3 linked regions of the Astyanax mexicanus genome follow. Each later gene encodes a partner of the first gene's protein in a complex. Links are inferred from orthologs where the notes say so. Each region holds a gene or a part of one and is shown in the gene's direction. Other genes may lie near its edges.

Region 1 (3,754 bases):
ACGTGTGCCAGAGTGAGTTTTACAGGTGAATATGCTCATTGCTAAGATTTGGAAATTTCTTGCCTAAGCAATTGAAAGGATATGTCAGAAACAATAAAAATTATTGCAATAAAATGAAAAAGGAAAATGCCACAGAATTTGTTTGGAGAGCATATAATTTTATTTTATGTTTTAGATAAATATATATCAGTATCAAGTATTTTTTTTATTAACATTTAATAAATCCCTTTTACAGTTCACAGTTTACATCATTTGTGGGTTAGGATCAGTTATGTGTATAATATGTATATTATATATTTTATATTTAATATAATAAAAATAATAATAATGCTATATGCACTTAAAGGTTTCTTGGGAATAATATCAAGAGGTAGATGGATGATCACAAGCCATCAAACCAAGCTAAACTGGTTGAAATGTTGCACCAGGAGTGGCATAAAGTTATCCAAAAGCAGTGTGTAAGACTGGTGGAGGAGAACATGCCAAGATGCATGAAAACTGTGATTAAAAACCAGGGTTATTCCACTAAATACTGATTTCTGAACTCTTCTGAAAACTTTATAAATATGAACTTGTTTTCTTTGCATTATTTGAGGTCTGAAAGCTCTGCATCATTTTGTTAATATCAGGCATTTCTTATTTCTAAATGACAATATTTTTTTTGGGAATTTGGGAGAAATGTTGTCCGTAGTTTATATAATAAAACAACATTGTTCATTTTACTCAAACATATACCTATAAATAGCAAAATCAGAGAAACTGATTCAGAAACTGAAGTGGTTTTCCAGAGCTGTATTGTGGATCTGAAGCTCTCCTAAAGCAGTAATAATGTGGTAATTCTCCTCCTGGGCGCTCGGGGGCGGTGTGGGTCTCTCAGTCTGATTCTCTCCTCCACACCGCTAGACTGCAGCCTGATGAGAAACCGAGTCCAGTGTAAACAGCGCCTGATAGAAACTATCCCCGCATCACAAACATGAAGCTGGTGAGTGTTTTATAACCCAGACACTGACCTACTGACTGTACACACCTCTGAACACACGCAGACCTCAGCATGGCTGATGATGCTGCTCCACAATAATGTAGACTAAAGATGGTAGAATTTTCCGCGCTACCTTCAATCTGTGGAAGTTATCTCCGCGCGCCCGCTGCACCGTTTACTCAAACAGCGAGGCATTTAAGGTGGAACGGGAAATTCGAAGACAACACAACCTCGTGAATAGTAGGGTTAGTGTACTAGAATTCACATTGGTATGTTTAAAAAACTCAGTCTTTATTTGTATCATTAAATACCCAGTTGTTAATGAATTCACGTAAATGCATGTAAAAGTATATTATCTTTCTAAAAGTCTTTCGACTATATTTTGGAGCATTGCTGTGAGGATTTGATTGTATTTAGTGACAAGAGCCTGAATGAATCCAGGACCACCCCGCCCTAACTCATCCCCAGCTCATCCTAAAAGTACTGGATGGAGCTCCGTACATTTACTATACATCCACATGATATACAGTAACTAAACCAAGTGACCGTCTTCAAAACTCTCGAGTGCCCATTGTTGCCGGTGGACAGGGCTTAGCATTCAGATTCTCATTAAATTAATTCTGTACATTAGCCTAACTAAGATTACATCTTTCTTTTCCAGTATTGTTTATCTGGTCATCCAACGCTGCCTTGCAATGTCCTCAAGTTTAAATCAACCACAATCATGTTGGACTGTGGTCTGGACACCTCATCTGCTCTGTATTTTCTCCCTCTGCCGTTGGTACACAGGTGTGTCATCGTATCACTTCAGATTCACCTGAACCTTTTTATATCTAGTGTTGTGATGAATATAACCTTTGTAATAGGGTGATGATGATTTGTTGCTGAGTTTATTTATGTTCTTAACACATTTCAGTCCAAGACTGTCTAAACTCCCAGGCTGGGTCTCTAAGGACGGTACAGTGAATCTTGAGAAAGTAAGTATAATTTTTTACTCTTAATACATTAGTGCAGGGATGAATGTATGCATATTCAGTGTAATATGATACTTTACTTAACTGAATGTGCTCTCTGTTCTTGGTTAAAGGAGCTCAAGGAATGCGCTGGTCGTGTTTTTGTGGACACACAGCCCGAGTTTTGTCTACCTGAGGTGTGTGTTTGTATCCTGAAATATTGGTCTTTGGGGGGATTGTGGAGAACATTTTTTTGTTTACTACATCATTTCATGTGTCCATTAACCTGTTTTTGTATTTAATATTAATCTACAATGTAAAGAAAATAATTAAATAAAGAAAACCACTAAATGAGAATGTGTGTTAAAACCTTTGACTGGTACTGTGCCTTTTAAACAAGAAAATATTTAGTGCTTATTCTTGTATTTTACGCACTGATTGTACTCACATTTCAGGGCACTATTTATTCAAATTGTCTAAAATAGATTTCTTTGGGCTTCCTGGTACACTTAATATGTTTATACTGACGTGCACAATTGGTAGAACTGATTTTTATTTTTTATTTTTGGAATATATTAATTAAATGTTGCATCTTTTACATTCTGAATTATTTAAAGTTTGTAAAAAATGTGTCTATGGTGCCTAAACCTTTTCATGCTGGATGTGTGTTTTTGTTTTTGTAGCGAGAGCTGCTGGACTTGTCCACTGTTGATGTTATATTAATCTCTAACTACCACTGCATGATGGCCCTGCCCTACATCACTGAACACACAGGTTTCTCAGGAACAGTCTACGCCACTGAACCCACCTTTCAGATTGGCAGGTAGCCTGTTTATCAGTTCTGTATATATACTGTATTTTTCACACTGTAAGATGCACTTAAAAACCTTTAATTTTCCCAAAAATCGCAAAGTGTTGCCAACCGTGTCTAGCGCTTCTGTAAATTGCACTGTTGAAAATATTGGACATCTAAGCCTACTGTAAATAACAGAAATGCTTTACTTAACCAAATATATCATTTTAAGGAGAGAAATCTGTGTAGATTAACAACATGGCAACACCCTTGATCCTAACTATTGTCATTTAAAATGAGCCTTATAATCCGGTGCGCCTTATGTATGAAAATAGATCAAAAGACATTTATTATAATATGGTGCACATAATAGTTTTATTTTTCAGCTTTAACACTTGTAGAGGGTTGCAAAATATCTGATGGATGGAAGTCATATAGGTAAAAGGAGAGCAAGGGCTTCTGTTAATTAATTGATTACTAATTAATAATAATAATAATAGTATAATAAGAATAATAGTAATAATGATAAACCTCAATTTTCATACATTAAGGCAGCTGAAGGAACTAAATGGTTCACAACATCAGCTAATATAAACATTAATCAACAAATAATCAATAAAAGCAGCAAAAGATAAAAGTTTATGAACATGAAAAAGGTAGAAAAAAAATGTATATAAACAAATGTTTTGTTTATATCCTCAGACTGTTGATGGAGGAGCTGGTCACTTTTATGGAGAGAGTTCCAAAGGCTCAGTCTGCCACCTGTTGGAAGAACAAGGAAATACAAAGGTCAGGAAGCAGTGGGACTTCATACATAGTCATAAACAGTGTTAGTTGCATGTGTGCATTAACAATATTCACACTGTTTTACATTGTTGAGTGTTTTTGTTTTAGTAGCTTTAAGAGTGATGTTTTTGTTTTTAGGATGCTTCCTGGGCCGTTAAAGGATGCAGTAGATGTGTGGTCGTGGAAAAGGTGCTACAGCATGCAGGAGGTGAACTCTGCTCTCAGTAAAGTGCAGCTAGTGGG
Region 2 (3,754 bases), on another chromosome or scaffold:
TTACAGATTTGTTTAGATACTGTTGCCGACTTCACGGAACACGCGACGCTGCATCAGAGAACTTTTACAGAGGAGAACACACACTTGTGTTTCTGTGTTCTGGGTTTATCAGACACTAGAGGGCTACTGAGTGAGTCCAAAAATAATAGGTTCCTATGAAGCAACTGATCAAAAATCACATTTTATAAGTGTTTGTACATTTAATCGATTCATAATTTGTCAACACAAAACCATATTAAATAATTTAACACCAAAGACAGACGTTTTAAAGCTTTAACCCTTTCAGATCTGAATTATGTTACAATGATGAAACAATATATAATGTATGTTATTCACTCAAAAATAAAGCTTTATTTAGTTAATAAATTAAATGAATATGTATTATTTGTCTTTTATTATTTATTATTATTATTTATTATTATATTATTTATTATTATTTATTTATTAAATGTGTGTATGCTGCCTTATTATCTGGGATGCTGCCATTTACTTCAGATTGCAGACATTTATTTTTCTAAATTGGGCAAACTGCTGTTTGATTGGCTAATAAATGTTTATTCTGACCTGTGTTAAGTGCAAGAAAACATAATATAAACGCAGGGTTAAAATGAGTCTGTTAAACGAGCTCCTGCTGTCAGTCACCAACCAGTCAGCGCACAGGCGCAGTAATGCTAGCGTCGTTACTGCATAAAACCTGTTTGTCGTATAAAAATGAAAACATAGATACGAGTTTACTTTGATTTATTAACTAAATACTTGAATTTACTTTCTTAAGCTACAGGAATAAGCCGGATAAGTAGTTCTTAAGTATGTTTAATTTGAGTTTTAGCTGTTCAGCTCCATTCACCGCCATTGATTGAGGACTCCCTCGCGGGCTCCCTCTGGTGGTGCGCAGTGTTTTTATGATTATTAGCGGGGAGGGAGGAAGTGGAGAGTCTCGCCTTAAACCAGCTGTGGCTGAGTTTACTGATCAAGCGTGCGGCGCCAAAGCCCTGCGACAGAAACCCGAAACACAGAACGAGGAATTACAGAGATAATCTCTCATTTACCGCTAAAATAACCCTTATATCGTACAGTTAAGGCCTTTTCCTGTTGGGGGAGGCTTCATACTGCACCAGTGAGTCACATTTATAAATGTTTTATCTGGAGTCTTCATGTTGATCCACTTTAATTTACACTAAGAAGTAACGTTAAAATAAAGCTGTTAAATAAAGTTATATATTTAATAATGTGTAGCCTGGAGTGAGAGCAGGGTTAAACAGGATTATCTGAGACCTACCTGTAGCCAGTTAAGATAACAAAAGGCCGGATTCTGGCTCGGGAAGCAGACTGTCATGCCTGAGTCTAAGGTTAGTAAAATAGATTATTATTTTATTGGTTAAAAACTCTTAATAACTAATAAAAACACAGCTGAACACTGTCTTTATCTGTGTGCTGCTGCAAAAATATAAAAGAAGATACTGATATATAAAATATTGCAATATTTATTTTTTTAAATACTTTAAATACTGGCCGGCCCACTAGACGGCAGTGTTTTATTCTGACGTTAGATTCCACTGTTCTGATTGGATAAAAGGCCCTATGATGTTTTATATATTTATTCATTTATTTATTTATTTATTTATTTATTTTTGCAAATTCCATGTCTTGTTTTTTTTTTTTTTTTTTTACTTCATCACTTATTTTTTGTGGCATTTTAGACTTTTAGATTTTTTTACAGTTTTTTTTTTTTTTTAATGAATGGTACATTAATGAAACAAACAATACCAAATGGTAGCTTTGTGTATCCAATAAGAGCTCAGAACCAGTTATGAATATGGAAGAAACAAAAAAATCAGTTAAATTAATGGAGCAGCCCATTATTTTTTTGTCTTAAAGAAAAGCCAGTAACTGTTAACTTTATCTTTAAAGGTCTCATTCCATCGTTTTTTCATTTATGTTATTAATTCATTTCATTGGTTGTGGTCTCCAGTATGAATTAATGCCATGTGAGCTGTTTTTTTGTAAAACAAAATGCTTAAGGTGTTTCTATTTAGCCCTGCTTTAGATCACTGAATTAGTGCTCTCTGAAGAAAGACAGGATTTGGCTCTTGCTCATGAATATTCATACATGCAAATATATCGCCTCTGATTGGCTAACAGCACAGCAGCATGGAACGCCTACCTGCCTTCCCTCCACAGTCAGTTTTGCAGCTCTAAATCTTAAAGGACAAAATGTTTTCAGAGATACAGCCTTACTTAAAAAGATACAGTACTAAGTGCTAGATAAAGTTAACCCTTAAACTTCACTTACCGTCAGACTCTCTGTGTCACGAGGCTGATAAGAATCGTTATGCTTCTCAGATACTGAAAATAATTTGTTCTGTAGTTTAATTTTTTGTTAAATGTTAAAGATAGCTGAATTTTTAGTTAAATTTTTTTATTTTTTCTCTATTAATTTATTTTAGATATATACCATATATATTTTTGTTTTTAAATTGTTATTATTGTGGTGTATGACATTTTGAAACTCTTGAAACTGAGCTCAGTAAAGATTAAATGTTATTTTTTCTTTTCTTTTCAGTTTCCTGCAAGATCACAACACTGACTGTTTTGTTCGTTGTTCCATGGAGAGTAACTGCTCATCCTTGCTGTCAGCTGTCTGTGAAGTGCTGCCTAATCCGAAACTTCTGCTTCCTGATGACACGTCTTTAGAGAAGCTTCTGGACTGGTTCAAAGACCTGATAAATCACAGTGAGTACACTACACTGACCTATTACCTGAAGTTTGGAGGTGTGTAGTGATGAACTAATCTGAAGCTACATGAAGTTTGGAGGTGTGTAGTGATGAACTAATCTGAAGCTACATGAAGTTTGGAGGTGTGTAGTGATGAACTATTCTGAAGCTGCATGAAGTTTGGAGGTGTGTAGTGATGAACTAATCTGAAGCTACATGAAGTTTGGAGGTGTGTAGTGATGAACTAATCTGAAGCTACATGAAGTTTGGAGGTGTGTAGTGATGAACTCTGAAGCTACATGAAGTTTGGAGGTGTGTAGTGATGAACTCTGAAGCTACATGAAGTTTGGAGGTGTGTAGTGATGAACTCTGAAGCTACATGAAGTTTGGAGGTGTGTAGTGATGAACTAATCTGAAGCTACATGAAGTTTGGAGGTGTGTAATGATGAACTCTGAAGCTACATGAAGTTTGGAGGTGTGTAGTGATGAACTAATCTGAAGCTACATGAAGTTTGGAGGTGTGTAATGATGAACTCTGAAGCTACATGAAGTTTGGAGGTGTGTAGTGATGAACTCTGAAGCTACATGACGTTTGGAGGTGTGTAGTGATGAACTAATCTGAAGCTACATGAAGTTTGGAGGTGTGTAGTGATGAACTCTGAAGCTACATGAAGTTTGGAGGTGTGTAGTGATGATGAACTCTGAAGCTACATGAAGCTTGGAGGTGTGTAGTGATGAACTAATCTGAAGCTACATGAAGTTTGGAGGTGTGTAGTGATGATGAACTCTGAAGCTACATGAAGTTTGGAGGTGTGTAGTGATGAACTCTGAAGCTACATGAAGTTTGGAGGTGTGTAGTGATGAACTAATCTGAAGCTACATGAAGTTTGGAGGTGTGTAGTGATGAACTAATCTGAAGCTACATGAAGTTTGGAGGTGTGTAGTGATGAACTCTGAAGCTACATGAAGTTTGGAGGTGTGTAGTGATGAACTAATCTGAAGCTACATGAAGTTTGGAGGTGTGTAGTGATGATGAACT
Region 3 (3,754 bases), on another chromosome or scaffold:
CACTAAAATGAGAAATGTTCCGAATGTTCAGCTACAGATGTATGGTCAGACTTTGACACAGGTCTCAGAAGTTAAGTATTTGGGGGTATGGATGGATGGTAAACTAACTTTTCAGTCTCACATTAATAGATTGGTATCAAGATGTAAACATAGTATTAATGTAATGAGATGTCTAGCTGGACTGGACTGGGGTGCAAGTAGGAAGGCGCTACTGCAGATATATTTCTCTCTCATTCGTGCAGCAATAGACTATGGTAGTGTTGTTTATGGGTCTGCCTCAAAAACTGTGTTGCAGAAGGTAGATAAAGTTCAGTTACAAGCATTGAGGGTATGCTGTGGGGCTTTTAGATCTTCCTCAAACCCAGCGATTTTAGTGGAAACGGGTGAACCACCGCTGGACCTTAGACGTCAGCAGTTAGCCATGTCCTACTGGGTGGGAATAAAAGGGCATGATATAGATCATCCTGCTAATATAGTTTTAAGGGATTGCTGGGAACATGGTGATAGCAGAGGTAAAAGTTTTGGGTGGATAGCGGGTGAATTGGCTCGGCAAATGAATCTGGAAAGTCTCTGTTTATGTAAAACTGTGATTGCGGCACCAATTTCTCCTTGGCTATTTCCAATGCCGGAAGTTGACTTAAAATTGCAAAATGAGTTTAAGAAACATGGGAAGCAGGTGATGAAAGATCAGGTAACACTATCATATTTAGATCTCTATTATAAATATGACCTCAAAATTTATACAGACGCATCTGTGGATCCAGATTCAGGAAGAGCTGGAGTATCAGTGTATGTTCCAACCTTTAAGACGGAACTTATTAGGAGAGTGTCAGATTATGTGGCAGTGTATACAGCTGAATTGGTGGCCATTATGATGGCCTTGCTCTGGGTCGAGGATGTACGGCCCTTGAGAACAGTAATATGTTCTGACTCTCAGACTGTTTTGAAAAGCCTAACGAACGGTCAAAAGTCATCAAGGATAGACATTATTTATGACGTCCTCATGATCCTTCTCAGGTTACAGCATTTGGGTTTATCAGTTGGCTTTCTGTGGGTACCAGCTCATGTGGGGGTGGAGGGCAATGAATGTGCTGATATGTTGGCAAAGCGAGCCCTTACGCTGGACTTTATTAATGTTTCAGTGCCCTTAAGCAGGCAGGAGGCTAAGCTGCTCATTAAAAAATATGTAACTAGGACTTGGCAAGGTATGTGGGATGGGGAACAAAAAGGAAGGCATCTTTATAAGTTTCAAAGGTTAGTAGGACAGAGAATAATTAGAGGTAAAAATAGACAGGAAGAGTTGGTACTTACTAGGGTACGTATAGGACATTGTGGACTGAATCAGAGTCTGTTCAGAATTGGTAAACATCCGGATGGCAATTGTCTGTATTGCTCTCAACCAGAGACTATAGAACATGTCTTAATACAGTGTGTGGCATATGATATACAAAGGGAAGAGGTGTTTGGAGGAGTTCGGGCAGTAGGGAATCTATCTATACATAGTATGATTCACGACACATATAAGTTGATTAAATTTCTTAAATTATCTGGGCTGTTTAATAGGATTTAGAATTCAGCATTTCATGTTCTATCCAGTAAGTGGCAGTAATGCACCAATGACAGGAGTGCTGGCTGCCATTAATTCGACAAAGAAGAAGAAGCGCGAGCTGGGACAGACAGAGCGCGCTGAGGCGAACCCGGCGGTGGCTGTTTGTTAAAATGGCTGCTCACCTGAAGAAGAGGGTTTATGAGGAATTTTCTAAAGTAGTTCAGGTAAATAAAACTCAGTTTATCAGAAATACACTGTATTACTCAGAGTTACACCGAGATAAGCGCTGCTGCAGGCCGGCTGGAGCGATTAGCTAACGGGCTAATGCTGCTCCGCGCGCCGGTGTTTTTAATCAGCAGCTCATTAACTACAGTCTCCACTACTCTTTATTTTCTCTTTATTTAAGAGTTTTTACGCGTTTTTTAGTGTTTTTTACTCAGTAATGTATTGATATGTAACTAATATAACACGCCAGGAGTGCTTATAAACTTATACATTTATTAAAAAGACCAAACCAAGCTAATAATTACTCAAACACTGTGTTTGAGACTGTTTACATAACGTTAGACAGTTTATATTAAGTAGTTCAGCCATTAGTATAAATAAGTCTATGCAGCTACCAGGTATACCTTCAAATAAAGAAATAATATTTCTGTTTAAGGTTACAAAAAGAAGGAAATTACTTTTAAATAATGTCCTACATCTCTAATGAAAAAGACTTAACGTTACCTTGTAAAAGAAGTATATATTTTAAAATTATGCCTGCTAAGTTAAGTACATACTTTTAGCATTAAAATAAATACGTTCACGTATATAAAACGTTTATTTTAATTGTAATTAAGCTATATTTGAATATAACAAAAAGCATTAGGCTGTGCTTTAAGTGCCTTTTTTAATAACGTCTGCAAACTTAATTAGATTTAAGTATATTTGTGTCTCTAAAGCATACTTTTTGATACACTTAAAGTATGTTGTAAATGTTCTACTTTCTCGTATTGCTGCACATATGCTTTTGGGGGGGAAAAACTACACTAAAGTGCACTTTAAGCAGCATTTAATGCCACTACATATATTTGATTATATATACTTGTATAACGTATAATTTAATGCATGTTGCTTTAAACTAAATCTTATAGAAATACAGAAAGTATATTAAATAGAAAATGCACTTTTAACCTTATTTACCTAATCTGAACATACTTTTAATGCTCCTAAGTATACTTCTTTTTTTTTTTTTTTTTTACAAGGGATAATATGGGTCTGCCCTTTTGTACCTTTTGTGTGTTTATATGTATACATGAATTAGGGATGGGCAATACTGTAAAAAATAATAATCACTTTAGTTTTTACATAATTTCAGTTTTTATTTGGAAACAGACAGCAGCATTTCTTTTTCATTTAATAAAACAAATCTGAATAGTAAGCAGCCCTCTTCAACCTTTCATGCGGCTTTTATATTAAAAAAGTGTAAACACAATCTTATATTTTAGTGAAAGAAAAGTGTAAAATATGAAAATCGCTGACACATAAGAGTTACTTAAAGGTTTCTAACAGAGTCAAATGTCTCTCTTCCGCTTCTATATCTAAATATATATTATAATCATTATCTCATTTCGAAAATCATTGTATTAAAACAATAATTTTATTCCTAGGGTTAATATAACTTATGTCATTAAATTATTTGTATTATTATCAATTTTCCTTAAGCAACAGCTTCTTGAAGAAGTACCGGCGAAGAAGCTCCGGCTGACCAAACCCAGTAAATCTGCAGCTCTTCATATTGACCTGTGCAAAGCCACCAACCCCACAGATGCCCTGCAGTATCTCCTCAGCTTCGCCCGTAAGCCAGTGGAGGCAGAAAGTGTTGAGGGTGTAGTTCGTATCCTTCTGGAGCATTATTACAAAGTAAGTGTGTGTTGTGAGTCGGGTAGAATTGTGTAACAATAGAATTATAACGTGCAATGCTTAAATTGCAGATTTTTAAATAAAACTTTATCAAATTCAATTTTCCCAGCATCAGTATTGACTTCTTTTAAAAGTAAGACATTTTTGCATGGCCATGTTAAAATGCACAGCTGATTATAGAGAAATAAAGTGGAAACTGATCAGATTTAGGATTATGACATTGCGTATTATGGATGTGACAATTCATCGATGCATTATAAATACGCAACATACAATTTATTTTTTTATTGAAACAAAGGC

What was found.
Region 2: the proteins of ints9 (region 1) and brat1 are in contact, whole or in part, in a cryo-EM structure (PDB 8UIB), measured with the Homo sapiens proteins. The link is inferred for Astyanax mexicanus from reciprocal best matches to the Homo sapiens genes INTS9 and BRAT1. Residues at the interface, in NP_060720.2 of Homo sapiens: Gly276, Met277, Gly279, Glu280, Cys282, Ser283, Asn284, Ala286, Leu287, Arg290, Asn291, Tyr315, Asp317, Ser318, Ala319, Gly320, Ser483, His484; in NP_689956.2 of Homo sapiens: Ala406, Pro407, Cys416, Pro460, Gln506, Lys507, Arg508, Cys510, His511, Pro512, Arg517, Glu545, Leu549, Gln552, Asp556, Pro557.
Region 3: the proteins of ints9 (region 1) and ints4 are in contact, whole or in part, in a cryo-EM structure (PDB 8RC4), measured with the Homo sapiens proteins. The link is inferred for Astyanax mexicanus from reciprocal best matches to the Homo sapiens genes INTS9 and INTS4. Residues at the interface, in NP_060720.2 of Homo sapiens: Lys2, Tyr4, Lys18, Ser21, Thr22, Leu43, Val44, Gln45, Glu87, Glu89, Leu90, Asp92, Asp97, Thr122, Glu145, Arg146, Val147, Pro148, Lys159, Glu174, Ser176, Thr177, Ser192, Gln195, Phe206, Gly207, Ile379, His380, Ser384, Asn385; in NP_291025.3 of Homo sapiens: Leu53, Gln54, Leu57, Gln58, Arg61, Lys62, Pro86, Ser87, Leu90, Lys91, Ser94, Gln125, Gln129, Asp132, His164, Gln207, Asp208, Pro209, Arg210, Arg212, Asp244, Tyr245, Glu246, Gln247, Trp296, Phe837, Gly840, Leu841, Val842, Val843.

Annotation. Positions count from the first base shown.
Region 1 is NC_064408.1:84,687,867-84,691,620, forward strand, and holds the start of ints9 (integrator complex subunit 9), read left to right. Parts: upstream 1-874; 5' UTR 875-973; coding exon 974-982; intron 983-1,012; exon of another isoform or gene 1,013-1,224; intron 1,225-1,640; coding exon 1,641-1,768; intron 1,769-1,895; coding exon 1,896-1,956; intron 1,957-2,066; coding exon 2,067-2,129; intron 2,130-2,615; coding exon 2,616-2,755; intron 2,756-3,427; coding exon 3,428-3,514; intron 3,515-3,649; coding exon 3,650-3,754. UniProt on the Homo sapiens protein: Component of the integrator complex, a multiprotein complex that terminates RNA polymerase II (Pol II) transcription in the promoter-proximal region of genes.
Region 2 is NC_064428.1:4,847,451-4,851,204, forward strand, and holds the start of brat1 (BRCA1-associated ATM activator 1), read left to right. Parts: upstream 1-953; 5' UTR 954-1,117; exon of another isoform or gene 1,118-1,349; intron 1,350-2,563; exon of another isoform or gene 2,564-2,574; 5' UTR 2,575-2,606; coding exon 2,607-2,733; intron 2,734-3,754. UniProt on the Homo sapiens protein: Component of a multiprotein complex required for the assembly of the RNA endonuclease module of the integrator complex.
Region 3 is NC_064416.1:5,385,176-5,388,929, reverse strand, and holds the start of ints4 (integrator complex subunit 4), read left to right. Parts: upstream 1-1,639; 5' UTR 1,640-1,719; coding exon 1,720-1,773; intron 1,774-3,256; coding exon 3,257-3,454; intron 3,455-3,754. UniProt on the Homo sapiens protein: Component of the integrator complex, a multiprotein complex that terminates RNA polymerase II (Pol II) transcription in the promoter-proximal region of genes.